Linked DNA regions of Arabidopsis thaliana. The protein of the gene in region 2 purifies or fractionates together with the protein of the main gene of each other region. This does not show direct contact. Each region holds a gene or a part of one and is shown on either strand. Other genes may lie near its edges. The genes, in order: PHB3, VDAC1, PHB5 and PHB4.

Region 1 (5,071 bases), on a different chromosome or scaffold from region 2:
TTGACACGTAAGAAATAAATTTTCTAAATTATATACTACCCCAATAGGCTTTATATATCTAATTGATGCCTTCTGTTCCTTCATGTTATCTTCAACATATTTTCTTTCCATCTCTCTGCAGAATCAAAGGCGATCAACAACATTTCGTTCGTAGAGACGAATTAAAGGTAGAAACATTTTCTAACGCCACCCTTAAACCAAAGCAGTCTCTGAGATCGTTTTTTTGTTACATTACAAATGCTCTAACTATAGACACAATCCAGACACAAACTTTTGCATCATACAATTCAGGAGCTAACATTTGTATCCATTTTGATGATTATTACAGGTTGCGTGGGAGATCTTCACGCCGCTACTCCACAGGATCGACAAAGGAGAAGTAAAGTCAATCCCATACAAACCAGGAAGCCGAGGACCGAAAGAAGCTGATCAGCTACTAGAGAAAGCTGGTTATCTTCAGACTCACGGCTATATCTGGATCCCTCCTACACTATAAAACCCTACATATATATAAATACACAATACATGTATCTACATGTATATGTATAAATTATGCTGAATAGTCCCTCCTCGAGTTTGGTGTTTGTACGTGAAACTTGCTACTTCAGCTGTTCACTTTGACACTTCCTTTGGTCTTGTATTTGCGGCTTTGTAGAAATAAAAATAAAAATCTTACCAATACCATAAATGAATTTAGCTTTTGTTGTGCTCGTTAAATGAATGAAATTGACGATGAGATAGAAAAAATTGCCAAAAAATGTAGAGTTTGTTGATATACACACATAAGTTCAATCTAGAGGTGGTTGAAACACACATTAAGTTCCATCTAGAGTTTGTTGACACAGACACATAAGTTGAGTCTAGGAACCGACGCCGTCTTTACATAGTCATCATTATCATTAGATGACCAAAAAAAAAAAAACTAAAACCGATGGATAAAATGGATCTCGATAGAAAAGGCTATCTTTCATGATTTCTCTTCTTTATTTGCTTTGTTTCTGAACTTGCTCTGTTTATGCAAAAACAATTGAATGTCCATACAGATCGAAATTTGACGTAGACTATCGACAGTTTATGCAAAATAGGTACCATCTAGATAATCCAGATGTGACCATAGTTTATCCGCATAGAACAACACTCCTAGGTACCATCTGTATTTTCTTTTCTCACGCATGTGTAACAAACAAATTACTTACAGTTCAGCCAAAATCATTTATTTGTTGAGAATTAGATAAACATGATGCTGAAAACAAAGATTCTTCAGGTAGAGTAAATTTTGCCGAGATTCAGAACACAATAATGACAACTCAAACAACTAGTTTCTTTTTCTTCTTCAGAGTTCATCAAAACAAAAGAGCATTTCACCTTTTTGATTCAATCAGATTCACAACTTGATCATTAAAATATCGCAAAATGCTCCCAAACAACCTGCACATAACCATAATACAAAGCCTTCAGACAAATCACAAAACGACTTAATTCTATGGATTCAGATGAAGCTTTTACATACCATCATATCTGATCAAGATCAACGGTTCAGGGCAAAGAGCATGCTCTGGCCACCGGGTAAGTAGGCCACATTAGGAGACCTAGCAAGTGTAGACGCAATCTCCCTTGAAGCTTCAATCCTCCTAAGCTCGATAAGTCCCATACCAGCTTTAGCCGTAGCATCAGAAATCAACTGAGCAGCTTCACTTTCACCTTCAGCTCTTATAACCGCAGCTCTCCTCTCTTGATCAGCCTTCATCACAACAAACTTAGACCTCTCTGCCTCTTGCTGAGCCACTTGTTTCTGCTCAACAGCCCTTGAAAACTCCACACCATAGGACAAATGCGTGATAGCTACATCATCAAGCACAATGTTGAAGTCCTTCGCACGGGTGATTAGTGACTCCCGAACAAGTGCTGAGACGTGAGGACGCTCAGTGAGAAGCTGGTCAGCGTTGAACTGTGCAACCACAGCTTTCAAAACCTCATTTCCAATCGAAGGAAGAACCTTCTCGTCATACTCTAGACCCAAAGTTTGGAAGATGTACGGGAGACGCGACACCTTCACAACAATTCACATCACATAAACACACCAAATTAATAACGATTCTACAATACCTAGTCCTCGAAACAAATTTTGAAAATCATAGATCATCAAAACCCTAAACCCTAAATCCAATTCGCAAATGAATCTGAAAAACCTCAATTCAGAGAAATCAAACGAGTCTAGATCAAAAATGAAGAACCGTTATGCGTTATACCTCAGGACGAGAGAGAACACGAAGAGTGAGATTAACCATCTGGAGATCCTTAGTACCAGAGATTGAAGAGAACGTGTGAGGCTTCGTGCGGATATCGAAGATGTGAGGCCTCTGAAGAATCGGGATCAAGAAATGAGTCCCTTCACCCACAGTCTGATCCATCACTCCCCTGAATCGATCGAAGATAACAGCTCTTTCTCCGCCGTCAACGGTGAAAAGCGATGTATTCAGCACCGTCGCCGCCGTTCCAAGACCGAAAGCAGCCTTCGCCAAATTGGAAAGGAACGAAACAGCCGCTTGTTGGCTTCCCATTTTTGCGTGTGGATTATCTTGAATCGAGAGAGAAGAAGAAGGAAGAAGAGATTTGAGACGACGAGAGAGGAAAGAGTTTCTGCTAGGGTTTATGATATGTTTCTGGAACCTACCACGGGAAATGATTTAATGGGCCAAGTAACTTAGCCCAATATTATTATGTGACTATATAAGCCTATTAAGAACTAAATTCAATAATGGGTTTCATGACATTGGGCTGAAAACAGCTTAACGGTTACAGAGTATGTTTAATATCTTTTTGTCTCATAAATTATGTTTCTCTCAATTTTTTTTATTTTTTTTTTACTGAAAGATAGATTATAGATAGAGTTTACAAAGTTAAAGCTGACGATTAACAAGATAATCTCAAAAACTAAGTCGACGGATAACAAAAATCCTCGGAGACTAAAGCCCAAAAGTATGGGAAGCTAACAAACATTACTTTAAATGCATAAGAAAATAGAAACTGAACCATGGAAAATCAAAAACTATAACCAGAATCTAGCACATGAGACATTGCCCACCATCAATCCAAGATAAAGAAAAGCTTGCAGAAATGGCTAAACGACGGGGAAATTCTAATCCACAGCATCAAGATAGCAGCTCTTCTTATAACAAATGAAGACTACCTCACAGTTCAAAAACAGCATCCCAACCAGCAAGAAGAAACCAAATATAAAACAGCAAAATCGAGGCAATGAAAACCAAGATCGGTCAACGCCAATAGTTTATCTCAATTTGTTTAATCAAATAAAAATTGAAGAATATACCTACTTGGACATTTGTATGGTGTTAAGGGCCTACTATAAAAGTATTAGATTAGTACAAGCCAACGGTAGTGAACAAAAATATTCTTCGAGCTACTTGACAAACACGAAGTTGAATAAGGATAACTACTTTTTCGTATAAGAAAAATATTTACATGTGAGCATGATTAATCCTTTTCAAATATAACGGCAGGGGACGTTGTTGTTGAGTTTTTCCAGTATAAAAAGTGTTTTTTTTTCCTTAAAAGAAAAGTTGTGAAACAATGATATCTATTTTTGAAAACTTTTTGTGACTATTTTTTGACCAACAAACAGTATACGCGAATACTTTTCTATTCGGTTAAGTGGGATTTGAAGACAGATGTACACGAGTATTAAAACTGAATCTGAAAGCATGTAAATCTCCAAATATTTTATCCGTAAAATTGTTATGTATCTTCGACCAAAAAAATATAGAGATATTATGTATCACTTAATTAATATGACTCAATTAAGTCGTCTCGAATACTAAGAAAATTATGGAGTTTTACTTGGAAGGTCACACAGTGACCTCACCACGTTATCGAAAATGTCAAATGTTTCGGTGTCGAATCTTATACAGGTTTGAAAATAACCTTTAAAATAGATTTATATTACAGAAAAGTCCTTCAATATTGATTTTCAATTAAAATATTGCAGAGAAATCTTTAATTTCAAAAACTAAACGCCAACTTCAAAGATTGAGCTAAATTCGATTCTTTCAACATTTTGACTCCAACCGGATATATATGTAGTCATCAATATTATCGAAACAGGTAAAAGAAACAACCCAAGTGAAGGAAACATGAATCTTTGATAACCAATTAGAGTGAGAAGTGTATAATTGTAAAATAAACAAACTGAAACTAATATTAATATATATATATATAATTATATATATACTACTACTACTATACTAGGTTATTTTGTCAAATATATATATATGGTACATGACAACAATAATAAGAAACAATTTACACTTTTGTGTTTGCTCATCAAGAAATTTGGAACAAAGTCCAACTAATCTTGGGATAGATCGACCAAAACAAAACGTTCACTTGGTTTTTAATCGGTCAGAAAGAATATGTTTAGGCTAAACATTGAATCGAATTATCATCTGACCACCAATGGTAGATCAATAAAAAGTATTGATGTGTTTTTATCTAGCTAGTGAAAAAATTTTAGAATTGCCATTTACTTAAATATGAGACTCATTACATATAATGCAAATATTCTTTAGTCTAAGCTATAATGGATGCTCATTTGTTGTTTAGTGCACATAATTTTCCTCCACCAATGGCCAGTATTTGTTTACAAACTAGTATAAGATAATGTAAGCTAATTATCACATACATGATGTCACGTTGATACACTAAATTATAAAAATTATAATTTAGTGTCAAAGTGCAGATCGAAACTATAGCTAATTGGTGGTGTTGAAATTATTCATACCTTAGTAATAATTATAAAATCAATTGATTGTAATCTAATAGTTTCGTTGACCATATACAACGAAGATGAAATAGATTGACGAGTAAATAAAAATAAATTTGCAATCTGGTGGAGATAAATTTCATCCTTAACCTACAACACTAGGTGACACGTAACAATTAAACCGAGTCAACTGATTATTTCTTTGAAGAAAACTTCCTCTCGTGTACAGCTTCCGAGATGCTTCACTGGAGGCATTAACTACTTTGATCATTTGATTTTTGTTTGCACAAT
Region 2 (5,146 bases):
AGACTCAGCAATCCAACCACCCAAATCAAAGCCTACGTCTTTGATGGTATATATATCTCCTCTTCATTTCTCAATACTTAGGGAAAGTGATGATTTATCCGGTCAAGTTATTGATTTTCGTTTTGTTTTTTCAGTGATCAGAGCATGTGTTCCAAAGCTGAACTTGGACGATGTGTTCGAGCAGAAGAATGAAATTGCCAAATCTGTGGAAGAAGAGCTAGACAAAGCCATGACTGCTTATGGTTACGAAATCCTTCAAACCCTAATTATCGACATTGAGCCTGATCAACAGGTTAAACGTGCCATGAACGAAATCAACGCCGGTAAGTCCTCAAAATCGTAAAACCCTAAATCAAAATCTAAACAAATAAATGGTCAAAACCCTGAATTCAATTGTTGTTACAGCGGCGAGGATGAGAGTGGCAGCGAGCGAAAAAGCAGAGGCTGAGAAAATCATTCAGATCAAAAGAGCAGAGGGTGAAGCAGAGTCAAAGTACCTGTCGGGACTCGGAATCGCTCGGCAGAGACAAGCGATCGTGGACGGTCTGAGAGACAGTGTTCTAGGGTTCGCAGGAAACGTGCCAGGGACGTCAGCGAAGGATGTGTTGGACATGGTGATGATGACTCAGTACTTTGACACAATGAGAGATATCGGAGCAACTTCTAAATCCTCTGCGGTGTTTATCCCTCACGGTCCAGGCGCCGTCTCTGACGTGGCAGCGCAGATTCGAAATGGATTATTACAGGCCAACAATGCCTCCTAATCACTCAAGTCAAATTGTCTTGGTCGTCTCTTTATATATTTTTGTATCTTCTTATTAAAAAGGTAAATTTGACTTTTAATATAATGGTGTGCTTATTGTGATTTGTCATTATGTTTGTACCTATCTCTTTTGTGAGTTGTGTGATAGATATACTTTGTATTTTTTCTTAAAAGTCAATATAAATTTCTGTTTGCGAGAGAAAAATCGAATCTTTGAATAGTGAACTTTGTGGCGATAAACTAATATAATGATTAATGAAGAGAATGTTGCGATATAGGACACTTTCATATAATGAAGAGAATGAACCTGATCGATAAACATGTGGGCCTAAAATGAAGCCCATCTCAATCAACTCTCTGGACACAGGTCCACTTACTCAACACACAGGCCCATCTGAATATGCAATTTTCATTATGACACGGCAAATAAAAAGAGAAGCAGAAGAGGAGGATCTTAAGAGTTTCATCACCATCTCAAGATGATCATTTTCAACCTTTTTATTCTTCTACAAATCCGGCAGGAAAATGGGAAAGATCAGTAGTTGCCCACTCAAACCATGAACCAAGCAGAGAAAAAACAGAGTACGTAGAAAGAAACTAGTTTAAAAAAACTATTGCAACTTCTTCTTCCATCTCAGTTTCAAGGCTTGAGTGCGAGAGCCAATCCAACTTTAGCACTCTTGTCAATTGACTTTGTGTCGACTTCTCCAGAGATTGTGAAGAATGACTTGGGTTTCCACTCGTGTTGAATGAGAGCACTTGCAATACCCGCACTATTGACACGAGCCTTCACAGAGGTCAAGGGGTCAAGCGAGTGCTGTGTTCCAACAGTTATGGTGCTGTCCTTGCTAGATAACTTGTGGCTCACTTCGGCTCCAACCGCAGTGTTGAACAGCGGGTTCACAATGTGATAGTAAGATGCATTCAATAGATCGCCCTTGTCGTTCCTAACAAACAACAAAATCAAAAGATATTAAATGGAAACATTGAGAACTCCATCTTTCATCCAGAATTCTCACTAAAAATCACTTACACAGTAAGGGAGGCAATTAAGTCCTCCTTGGTGAAGCTTAAACCAGCATTGATCTTGGTGAAATTTCCAGACTTGGTGTCAAATGAAACATCAGTACCAACAGCCAAGACATTGGAGCCAATCACACCAGAGAAGTTGACAGTTGGGTTCTGAGTCAATCCCATGCTTGTGCTGATACCGGCGTACTCATGCAAGTATTGCAGCTCAACCTGTTTATAAGACGAAACACGATAAAAATGAGAAGTCAACTCTCAACTGATGAAACTTTAAAACAATACAAAGAAATGTTGTTGAATTAATAAAATATACCTTGCCAGAATTTTGGTCAGGAACCTTGAAGCTGAAGATTGACCTCAGTCCGGGTGCAGCCTCATCAACGGTAGCGGTGATCAGAAACTGAAACCAATACACACAAAGTTGTAAGGTAAGTAGCCCAACAAACAAACAAAAAACTATAACTCAATATACAAGAAAAACAGGAGATGAAATTGAGTACACAAATACACTTACAGTAGAATCAGTGCAAACTTTCAAATCAGTAGTAATGTTCTTTCGCCTCGACTGAAAAGCGACATCTCCCAACAATAAGTCACCTTTCTTAGTTCCGGTTGAGGTGATGGCCTAAAACAAAGAAAGAGCCAGATTATGAGCAACGATGCCCAAGATAGAAGAAATCCAATGTTTACCATCACACGAAACATAAGAACAAAGTAAGAAATCCGTTACATAAGATAACAATGCTAATTCGACACAAACCTCAGAAGCTAATGAATAAAGCAAAAGTGGAAACAGAATACAGAAGACGACATTCCATAAACCCTAATCATCTATAATGAAATGAGAAACTTACAACACCGGCAGGAGAGAAAGTGGTGATACTGAATTTCTGGTCACTGTTGTGGTCTTTGTACAGAAGATCTGCAAATACACAGAGCAGAGCAACAGTTTTAGACAGCTTATTAACAAAACATTCTCAAAGGGGACTTAAATGGTGAGAAATGCTAAACATGAAAGAGAATCACAGCATTCAAATTGGCTATTCCAGATCAACGATAAACAAAACAGGGTCTATTGAGAAAGGTAGAGAGCTTAAACGAGAGTGACGGAGACATTGAACCCAAGGAATTACTCATATCAGCACCAATGATTGAAATCCATTACTTATGAATCTCTACCCGATCGAATACTCGAAATCTACGCATGCATCTATGATCTATCCCGGTAGCCAAATCGGGACCGGGAAAAGGAAAATCTAAGAGATGAGCAAATGAATCAAAAATCCTAAGGAATCAAAAGAAAGTCCAGATTAGAAGACAGAACGGGACACTAAGTAGCAACAATCAGATCGTCTACGCCATAAACAGATTTAATTGAACGAAATGAAAGAGAAGAAGTGAGGGAGATAATAAAAAGATACCTCTGGCCTTTTTGCCGATTTCGGTGTAGAGACCGGGACCTTTCACCATTGTTGCTTATCTGAGAAAGTTGGAGGATGTTCTGAAAAGTCTTCTCTGAGAATCGAAAGAACAAGAGCTGGAAAACGTGGTTGGCGTCTATAAGAGAGAGAGACTGAGGAAAACCCTAAAATGTTTTTTATTTCCGAATATTATCAGAGAAAGAAGAGTTTTCCTGTTTATCAAGCATAATTTTATCAGCCGTTGGATGGAGACTCGCTTGCTTCAGTATTCCTTATCCACAGCCGTCCATATATTTATTCCCCACTCACCAAGAAATTTATTCTCATTTATTACGTGGCAACTAAACGGCGTCGTTTAATAACACATTTTTCTTTCCACGCCTAAAATGAGAAAATCGTTTTTTTCCCTTGATGATTAGTCGCATAAATTTAGCTATTTCATCCTTTATTTTAGTCATGAATGAGTAATCGAATGTGATGGTGAAATCGTGATTTTTACATATTTATCAAACTATTTTCAGAAAAATATCCCAACTAGTTAGCGGCTGATATAGTAAACGATTAGTCAAGTCTCCGTTATGGTAGCAATTTATACTACAAGCAGTCTGACATTTTCACTACTTTTAGATGCATCATGAGAATGTAAACGTAATTGTTTCTTGTTGCTAAAATTGGTCGAAATCATAATGTTAGTCTCTCCATAGAAATATCCAAATATAGGAAACGAACAAAAAACAAGGAGATGTAAAATTAAAAAGAAAAAAAGAAAACAAAGAAAGCTGTCCACAAGTAAATTATGGTGGCTTTCCATACATAACGGGAAATTTTTCTAAATATAGTAGTTCACTTTCTTCACCAGGTTTTTTTTATCATTATTTAAACACCAACATTCATGTTTGTCAAACTTCGCAATACGATTCATCTACCAAAAAAGGCTTTAGGTCAAACAGAAATAACGACCTAAAGCTATGTTTAAAGCTTAGCAGTTCTCCACATATATTTCAATATATAAAAAGATTACCCCTTTTTAAAAAATAAAATAGATATTTGTTTTCCGTAAAAGAAAGGGGTAATCAAATAAAATGGAGACGGCTAGGCTTTTCAAATTAGTGTGTGTGATATGTATTGCCAGTTTGATTCCGACCATACGAGCCAATGTTGCTGATGAGACCGATGAGTATTGGGTAAACAAGGCCAATGAAGCTCGTAAACATACCCTTATGGCTTATCATCCCGACCCTTATGAGATCGTCGACCACTTCCACGAGCGTCATTACGAGTAAGTCAAATATTAGTATCTCGATCTATATATGCATTGTTTTTGAATCCTACCGATTTGTCGTCTCGTTGAAATTAACCAGGCTTGATTGTAATCATTAGAGAACGGTTTGGATTAGTTTATTCTGATTTCATTCAAATTACAAATATTTATTAGTAGAAGTTTTTTTTGGGTTGTAAAAAGGATGTTGGATTTATGATGGTTTTGGTTTGGTGTATATCTTCAGCAACTCGACTGACGTCGAGGGGACCGAGGAAGAGAAGGCGGTCGCTTCCGAGGAAGAGGACGTCATTGAGATGATTTCTAGTCCGACAAACAGCACAAGGCGGAGCCTAACCGGTAGGGGCAAGGGAAAAGGAAAAGGAAAATGGAGCAAGCTAACGGGACCTTGCACCGCAAGCAACCCCATCGATAAATGCTGGCGTTGCCAGCCTGATTGGGCCAGACGTCGCAAGAAGCTCGTTCACTGTGTCCGTGGGTTTGGTTACAGGACCACCGGAGGCAAACGCGGCCGCATCTATGTAGTCACGAGCCCCAGAGACGATGATATGGTGAACCCTAGACCTGGAACACTACGTCACGCTGTGATCCAGAAAGAACCTCTATGGATCGTTTTTAAGCACGATATGAGCATTCGGTTAAGCCAAGAGCTGA
Region 3 (3,617 bases), on a different chromosome or scaffold from region 2:
TGCCAGCACTATAAATTTTCTTTGGGCCAAAAACATTTATTAAATTTTGTAAGATGTTAGATTTTTGGTTACCAAAAGCTTAAATTATGTTAAATTTGGGAATTTAAGAGGGAAATCTAGAATAATTGTTTGACCATCCTACCTTGAATTATAATGTTTAATAATTCTATTCAATGTTCAAATGAAGATATAAGAAACTTTCTCCATACAACGATAAAATGAAAATAAAAACCTTGAAAAATTCAAAACTTTGGTCGCTCATGGTGAACTTGACCTTAAAATTAAAAACCAAAGACTTTACAAAGAAATGTAGAAGACACTGCTCGAATTTGTAGAATATTAATTAAATTGTCACTAATGGCCGTATGTTTTCAAAAAAGGTTAACGACACTAATTTGCAATATTTGAATCGGTCGATAAGGCCCATAAGATAATATAGATGGGCCCAAGTTTCTTTCGAGGTGACACTTGTGACTTGTGATCCGATGAATAGCTTGTTTTTTTTTCTTTCTAAGATAACCTAATTTGCATTTTGTTTGTTGATATCTAATCGAAAGCTGCTGGATAATCAGCTCCCATTTTCCCTAGTGAGGAAGTATGTGCCATAGCTACCAAGGGCACTGATCCAGGTTAGATCAACCTTTGAACTTGGACTACTTAATTATCTCTAGGTCTATGCATAAGTTTGATTGGCACAGTGATTGTTTAATTTGATGTCAATGTCGACTTAACAGTAGATGTGTCATGTGTCATGTGTGCGAGTCTCAGACTCGCAAGAACAGTCTCAACTGGAGTATACTAGGGTGATCCAATACTAGGAAACTATATAAAAAAATGAAAATCTTAAAACACACAAATCAATATAACCATTGAACACCATATTTTTGCAACTAATTCAAGCAACAACTTTGCTTGGACCGTTCATTGCAAACAACATATTCCCACCACTTGGCAAATAGACGACATTGGGAGAATTAGAGAGCGTAATCGCAACCTCTCTAGCCGCCTCGACCCTTCTGAGCTTGATCAACCCCATCCCAGCCCCTGCAGTCGCTTTCGATATAACCCGAGCCGCCTCGCTCTCTCCTTCTGCTCTAATCACAGCCGCTCGTCTCTCCTGATCAGCCTTTGCCACTACGAACTTGGACCGCTCAGCTTCTTGCTGTGCCACCTGCTTCCGCTCCACCGCAAGTGAGAACTCTTTACCGTATGAGAGACCAGTGATCGACACGTCATCGAGAACAATGTTGAACTCCTTAGCTCGCTTGATCAACGTTTCGCGTATAAGAGCTGAGACCTGTGGACGTTCTGTTAAGAGCTCGTCAGCGTTGAACTGAGCCACCACCGCTTTAACCACCTCGTCCCGATCGCTGGTAGGACCTTTTCACCATAGTCGAGACCTAAGTTTTGGTATATATACGAGAGGCGCGAAACCTAACACGAACCCACGGAAAACAGTTATATATTATTTTACATATATATCACAAAATCTTATTAGTGAAATTTTTTGGATATTCGCGGGAACTTACATCAGGGCGAAACATAACACGAAGTGTGAGGTTGACCATCTGAAGATCCTTAGTTCCAGAGTCGGTATTGATTTTGTAGGGTTTGGTCCGAATGTCGAAGATATACGGCTTTTGCACCCACGGAATCTTACGATGTGTCCCTTCTCCTACTGGTTCTTCTAGAATCCCTTCGAATCGGTGGAACATAACAGCTCTCTGGCCACCATCAACGGTGAACATTGTTGATCTCACAGCCGCTATGGCAGCTCCTAGACCTAGAGCTACCTTTGTGAACTTTGACCAAGGCATGATTGGCTTTGAATGTCTCCTGTATGGATTTTAGGTTTCTTTTTATGTTGTTTAGGGTTTCTTTTCTTGTCAGATAGGTGAGAAGTAGTTAGAGAACGCAGGAGATGAGGTTTTATAGGAAGTTTTTTTTTTTGCGTGAGGCAGAAGTTAAGGAGAAAGCTTATTATATTGGGCGGGTTCTTATTTAGCGGGTCGGTTTTCTCACGTTCTGTTACTCACTCGGTCAACCATACCTGCCACGTGTTACTTGTATGCATTACTATTGGTGGGCTTTTAGACGGGTCTTTTAATTTTCCGGTCCGTTACTTTTTAATAAGTTTTACCAGTTCCCGCGATGCACTCGCTACCTATCTCTATCTTGCGAGTTAAACCCTCACCCAAAAATCTTCGACAAAACTCGAATCTTGATCTAAATCCGAGAACGAACATTATAGGATTGTGTAGATTTATTTAGTTTTATTTTGTGAATTTGCAGGTATAAGGTTGTTGATATGAACCTTATTCGAATGTTTGGGGATTCCATTTCTAGATCCAAAGATGTAATGCGATTTGTGTGCCAAAGAACATTTGCTACAGCTGCTGGTAAAGCGAAGAAGGTTGGGAGGGGAGATGGAGGTAATGATGCACCAAAAGCATCGAACTTGAGCAAAGAGATCAAATCGAGTATGGTTGTTAGTGCTAATACTCTGAAAGATGGATTGGACCCTAAGATCTTGCCTAATTCAGATCACCCTGATTATTTATGGCATCTGCTTGATAAGCGACCGGCGCTTAGCGAACTTAGAAGGAAGAACGTTGAGACTCTTAGTTTTGATGATCTTAAACGTTTTGTGAAGCTGGATACCAGAGCTAGAATCAAGGAGAACCATTCTATCAAGGCCAAGAACTGAAATGAGATTCAACAATGACTTGTTGTATGTGTCCCTTATAATTCCCCTTGTTTGAGCAATCCCTTCATTTTCCTTATTATCTTTGGGATTATTTGATCTTAAAAGATTTTTCTCTAATTCCATGCTCTTCTCAGTAAATTGGTTAAATTTGTGTATTTTATGCTATTCATTGGCCAAATGGTATATCATTCAGCTTTCCACAACAGACTGCCTAACACCATGTCTCAGCTTGGATGGTATGTTTAGTCCCCAATTCTCTTCCTATCCTCTTCAACACATGAAAAGTTCACAATCCAATGATCGAAGATATGAATCTCTGTGTTTCGTAATTTCTTACACTTCCCCAGCTAACTTTTGATTCTTCCAAGTAAAAGAATATATGGCTTACCAGTTGCTGGTTTCAGGGGACTTGGTGTTGGCCGTAAACAAAGAGAGTTATAAAGCCAAATATAACTCACCAAGAATGGCACACTTCATAAAGAAAACGTTTCTCATCAATATCAAGAATCAAGATGTGAGCAACCAAGTGTAGCAGAGAGACAAGACATATGTGTATGGAAGAAACTCTTAAGAGAAGAACTTCTGAACAATACAGAGTTGAATTAAAAGTGCATTTTGCACATACTGCTTACCCAAAAGCAAATCTATTATTCCAAAACATACATCATTTAGAGGAATTCTAAAAGGTGAGAATAATAATGGTATATATATTATATATAGTACATGAAAAGGAAGATCAAACAATGATCTAGAGAAGAAAGAAGAAACTATCTAATTTTCTTGTCTACTCTGATTTTGTTAGCTTTCCTTTCACTAAACAATTCTATCCAGAGATTCCAAATCCAAAGTATACTAACAGTAATAGCAATTCCAACAACAATTGCCCAAGAAATCCACAACCAATTAGGTA
Region 4 (4,618 bases), about 10 Mb from region 2:
CATAGGCATTTTTTACGGATTATCTCTCATTTCTTCTTCTATTTTTAGAAATAATAATTCCTGATATATAGCAATATGACACTTAGATTTATTATTCATAAAACACTCTATTAACAAAGAAAAATAAAAACTTATAAAAGGAAAAACAAAATGTCTAAAAGTTTGATTTATAATGATAGATGCTTAATGCAACAAAAAAAAAAGGTGTTATTTGCGGTTAAACTTTTGGTTTATAAATTACAAGATATACAAATATTGAAAAAATGGAACTTCTTATACTCATTTAAAAAAAAAATTAAGGAAATTTGTCAAAATTGTAATTTAGCTGTAAAATAAATCACTACAAGGAGATAAAATCGTAAATAATATTAAATCTTCTACCAAATATATTTTCATTGAAAAAAAACAAAAATATGCATATATAATCAATACGATATAAATACTTGTAATTGATCGAATTATTGTATTAGGAAAAGCAATGAATTGGGAATTGTGTGATGATTATCCAAGCAAAGCACCGCCAGAGACGTGTAATAAGGTAGACGGTGCTAGGAGGTGCCGAACGAGTTGTAACAACGAAGGTTATGGTGGAGCAAATTGTAATTTGAAGGGAAAAGTTAAAGTTTGTGAATGCACTATACTTAGAGTTTGTCTACCCCACCACAAGAGGCCACCGCATGTACCGAAGCCACCAAAGTGACCACATAAAAAAGTTTTATTTAATTTATTTACCATGTTTTAATTTATATTTTAAATAATACAAGTACAACAACCTTGGTGTTGGAAATTGTTTTTGACAATACAAATTTCGACTATTGTTATGGTAGATTTTTTGGTGAAGCCTTTCATTGGAATGATCGGGTTTCGACAACAATGGCATAGTCTTTACTTCTAGAGTCAGAAAAGATAGAACGGCTCAAAACAATTATCTTTTTTCACATCGTGTTCATCAGAAATAAAAGAGCATCAACGTTAATAAACTTCACAGCTCCGTCGTTTTGTCTCCACTGAAGCTCCTCTTCCCACCTGCAAATACAACAAGGCCAAACAAGTAAACCACACCATTCCACAAACCTAAACCATACTCTACTATCAAACCAAACAGTTTATACCAAACCATAACCACTCTTAGTTCAACCAAACCGAATAACCTTAATGCCTTTAAATGGGAATCTTAAGTCCAAATCCATTTTTCATTCATTATTCAAAGAAGTAAAAGAGCATACCAATGTTATAGCTCAACGACCAGGGTTCAGATTAAAGAGCATGCTTTGTCCACCAGGTAAGTAAGCCACGTTCGGAGACCTAGCCAGAGTAGCCGCAACCTCCCTTGAAGCTTCAATCCTCCTAAGCTCAATTAGTCCCATTCCTGCTTTAGCTGTTGCATCTGATATCAACTGAGCAGCTTCACTCTCACCTTCTGCTCTTATAACCGCAGCTCTCCTCTCTTGATCAGCCTTCATCACCACAAACTTTGACCTTTCAGCTTCCTGCTGAGCCACTTGCTTCGCCTCCACTGCCCTCGAGAACTCAGCACCGTACGATAAGTGAGTAATGGCTATGTCGTCGAGCTCAATGTTAAATTCCCTGGCACGCTTGATAAGAGCATCACGAACAAGTGCTGATACTTGAGGACGCTCAGTGAGGAGCTGATCAGCATTGAAATTAGCAACCACAGCTTTCAAGACCTCATTTCCAATCGATGGAAGAACCTTCTCATCGTATTCAAGACCCAATGTTTGGAAAATGTACGGGAGACGCGAAACCTTCACAGTAAAATAACCACAACAACTTATTCAATCCCTCAAACAATCGAAGCCAGCATAGATATGCACCAAAAGCTTCTATAATAAGAGTAACATTCATCGAAGAAACCAAATTACACATAAGGATTATCTTCAACTCTAGATCTTGTACACAAACTTCAAATTCCACGAAATCAAACACAGAATCGATAAATGATTGCTAAATCGAACGAACACGATCATCCTAAACCCTCGATCTTGTAAACAACCAATGTATACAAAATCAAACACAGAATCGAGAAATTGATTGTTGCTAAAATCGAAATTACCTCAGGGCGAAAGAGAACACGAAGGGTGAGATTAACCATCTGAAGATCCTTAGTACCAGATTTGGAGGAGAAAGTGTGAGGTTTCGTACGAATATCGTATATGTGCGGCGTCTGGAGATACGGGATCAAGAAATGAGTCCCTTCGCCGACGGTCTGATCCAACACTCCCCTGAATCGATCGAACAAAACAGCTCTCTCGCCACCATCAACAGTGTAGAGCGACGAGTTTAGTGCCGTCGCCGCCACACCTAACCCAAACGCCGCCTTCGCCAAGTTCGTCAGAAACGAAATCGCTACTTGTTGACTTCCCATTTTCTTTTCTGACCTCACAAGAAAAAAGCTTCGAAGGAGAGAATTGAGAAAGGAAAGATTTAGGGGTTTGTTAGGGTTTATGAAATGATTTTGGAACTTGGAAGAGAGGGTTTTTTTTGGCCGACAATTATTGAATATGGGCTTGTTTAAAGCCCATTAATAATATAAACTACTTCGGCCCAATAATAAAAAAGGAAAAGGAAATGATGTAATATAAAAGGAAACAACGGTTTGGAAGATTAAACCCGAATTTGATTATTTGCCCATAAACGAAACTAAATCCGGAGAGGAAGACAGAGACGAAGAGCGTGTTGATAACAACCCTGCAGAGATTTTGGATCTTCTTAGAGAGCAAGATGAAAATGTTCTTCCTCCACCTCCTCCTTCACCTTGATTAGAGATTTTGATTAGAGTGAATAAGCACAAAAGACTAAAATTGATTTTTCTATACAACCAGTGGAAAATGTTATATACAAGAAATTCTATATAAAGACAATGAGACCTCTGACTTTGGACAGCAAAAGTAGATAAAAAGAAACATCTAAGGCTGCTTCCACAAATTGAACTAAATCGTCGATCTCTTCATCGTGTGTTTTCTTCTTCTTTGCTGCGTGTGGACTCAGATAGATCTTGCACATAGCATAATTGCCCTACTCAAACAAAACAACAGAAGTCGTCACAATAAAAACCAAAACTCAAGAGTCTCAATAACTTGGAAACCAAGTAAGTAAACGTACATATATACTCTTACCAGCTCGTAGTTATTAATATCATCAGAAGACTTAAGCCAGTGTTCATGCATCAACCAACCCTCTTTTACGCCATTTTGGTTGTTTTCCAATGTAGTACTCTAGTGAGTATTTGTAGCCGACAAGGCCTGCTTCTCCAGCATGAATCTTCTTGGCAGAGATGATACTACCCTCCAGTATCCTCCATTGTCTCTACGATTCATTCTTTTTCCACATTTCCCCATCTTGGTCCTCCCAGATATAAAGAACCATTCCGTCTTGTTACCCTTCACAAACTCCTCCGTTTCGAATCAAAAGAAAGACGCCGTTTTACATACAGAAAACACCAGAAGAGGATTAACGATATCGCCTTATATCTTTATTACTTGGATTTCAATTCTGGCTTGGACTAAGCTAAAAACAGAGACTGCTCCCACAATTCTTTGGAAATTAGTAGGAGTTGCTCATGCTACAGCTTACCATGTTTGGAAACAAATGAACAACTTGTTGCACAATAGTGTCTCCGTTTCGCCTTTGGCCACCTTCAAAGAAATCGACGGAGACATCAAAAAACACTATTACCGCTCGCATAAACAGAAAAGCTTTTCGGAATCTGATGATCTTGTAACTCCGATAAATTTTGTTGATGGACTCATTTTATATCTTTTTGGCAAGATTACATTTGTTTGGTTAAGCTATTTTTAAAACCTCAACTTTCATTAATATGATAATCACATTCCTATACTCGTAATACCCTCCCTTAAGATGAAATCTGAATTAAAATCTAAAACTTTGATGAATCGATGAAGATCAGTGGAATATATCAGTTTCTGTCAGATTGAGATCGAGAGAAAAACAAGTGGGAGCTATTTAAAATGACACTTCATTCTTTAATCACCACTCTTTGTTTACTCCTTCGGGTTTTGATGATATTGTAATTTGTAAATATGGGCGAGGTCAGCCTGGCGAGACCTACACCAAGTTAAATTCATCTTTTTAGGAGAAAAAATCCCTCCCAACATGCTTTGAACTCAACACCTCCATCTGGGAGATTTACTATTGGACCAACAGATTGTTGATGTCAAACTCATCCTTCAAGCTACATTTTGTGAGATTTCGAAAGAGTCTAACTCTAGACTTCATGGAGGAACCTCTAACATGTGAAATCTAACAGACCATTCCCCTCCAATTGGTTTGGATTCGTTCAATTATCCATCTCTTAACTAGAATCTTAAAGCATGTTTATCTTGTGGTTGTTTAAATTTTAATCTATCTTACTTCCTCTCTTATTTTGCTCAAGAAAAAATAAATGAAAAAAAGTGTTAATTAAAAAGTTGGTCTGAAATTTGTATAAACTTCTAGAGGGAATGAATTCAAGTCCTAATTTTCAACCACTAGTCTCGTGGACACTAGTCACTCGTACTTTTGTGGAATTTATTATTGTCCGAGGCAATGATCTCGATTTTTGATATTGTACAAGTCACCCCAAGTTTAGTCATCCCAA

The links.
Region 1: the proteins of VDAC1 (region 2) and PHB3 fractionate together in Arabidopsis thaliana (co-fractionation; one large-scale study listed by BioGRID). This does not show direct contact.
Region 3: the proteins of VDAC1 (region 2) and PHB5 fractionate together in Arabidopsis thaliana (co-fractionation; one large-scale study listed by BioGRID). This does not show direct contact.
Region 4: the proteins of VDAC1 (region 2) and PHB4 fractionate together in Arabidopsis thaliana (co-fractionation; one large-scale study listed by BioGRID). This does not show direct contact.

What each region holds. Positions count from the first base shown.
Region 1 is NC_003076.8:16,314,061-16,319,131, forward strand, and holds PHB3 (prohibitin 3), read right to left. Parts: upstream 3,232-5,071; 5' UTR 2,562-3,231; coding exon 2,250-2,561; intron 2,051-2,249; coding exon 1,529-2,050; 3' UTR 1,511-1,528; intron 1,429-1,510; 3' UTR 790-1,428; downstream 1-789. Other genes in the region: G6PD6 (glucose-6-phosphate dehydrogenase 6), read left to right, coding at 1-7, 122-167, 329-496. UniProt on the Arabidopsis thaliana protein: Prohibitin probably acts as a holdase/unfoldase for the stabilization of newly synthesized mitochondrial proteins. Necessary for mitochondrial and cell metabolism and biogenesis.
Region 2 is NC_003074.8:83,870-89,015, reverse strand, and holds VDAC1 (voltage dependent anion channel 1), read right to left. Parts: upstream 3,466-5,146; 5' UTR 3,263-3,465; coding exon 3,214-3,262; intron 2,715-3,213; coding exon 2,647-2,714; intron 2,418-2,646; coding exon 2,307-2,417; intron 2,193-2,306; coding exon 2,106-2,192; intron 2,006-2,105; coding exon 1,797-2,005; intron 1,711-1,796; coding exon 1,404-1,710; 3' UTR 946-1,403; downstream 1-945. Other genes in the region: HIR2 (SPFH/Band 7/PHB domain-containing membrane-associated protein family), read left to right, coding at 1-46, 135-323, 406-764; AT3G01270 (Pectate lyase family protein), read left to right, coding at 4,296-4,492, 4,719-5,146. UniProt on the Arabidopsis thaliana protein: Forms a channel through the mitochondrial outer membrane that allows diffusion of small hydrophilic molecules. The channel adopts an open conformation at low or zero membrane potential and a closed conformation at potentials above 30-40 mV.
Region 3 is NC_003076.8:4,611,302-4,614,918, reverse strand, and holds PHB5 (prohibitin 5), read right to left. Parts: upstream 1,818-3,617; coding exon 1,530-1,817; intron 1,358-1,529; coding exon 896-1,357; downstream 1-895. Other genes in the region: AT5G14290 (Mitochondrial ribosomal protein L37), read left to right, coding at 2,309-2,707; AT5G14285 (DNA-binding storekeeper), read right to left, coding at 3,475-3,617.
Region 4 is NC_003074.8:10,074,672-10,079,289, reverse strand, and holds PHB4 (prohibitin 4), read right to left. Parts: upstream 2,482-4,618; 5' UTR 2,387-2,481; coding exon 2,075-2,386; intron 1,767-2,074; coding exon 1,239-1,766; 3' UTR 1,227-1,238; exon of another isoform or gene 1,027-1,226; 3' UTR 682-1,026; downstream 1-681. Other genes in the region: AT3G27270 (TRAM, LAG1 and CLN8 (TLC) lipid-sensing domain containing protein), read right to left, coding at 3,584-3,656. UniProt on the Arabidopsis thaliana protein: Prohibitin probably acts as a holdase/unfoldase for the stabilization of newly synthesized mitochondrial proteins.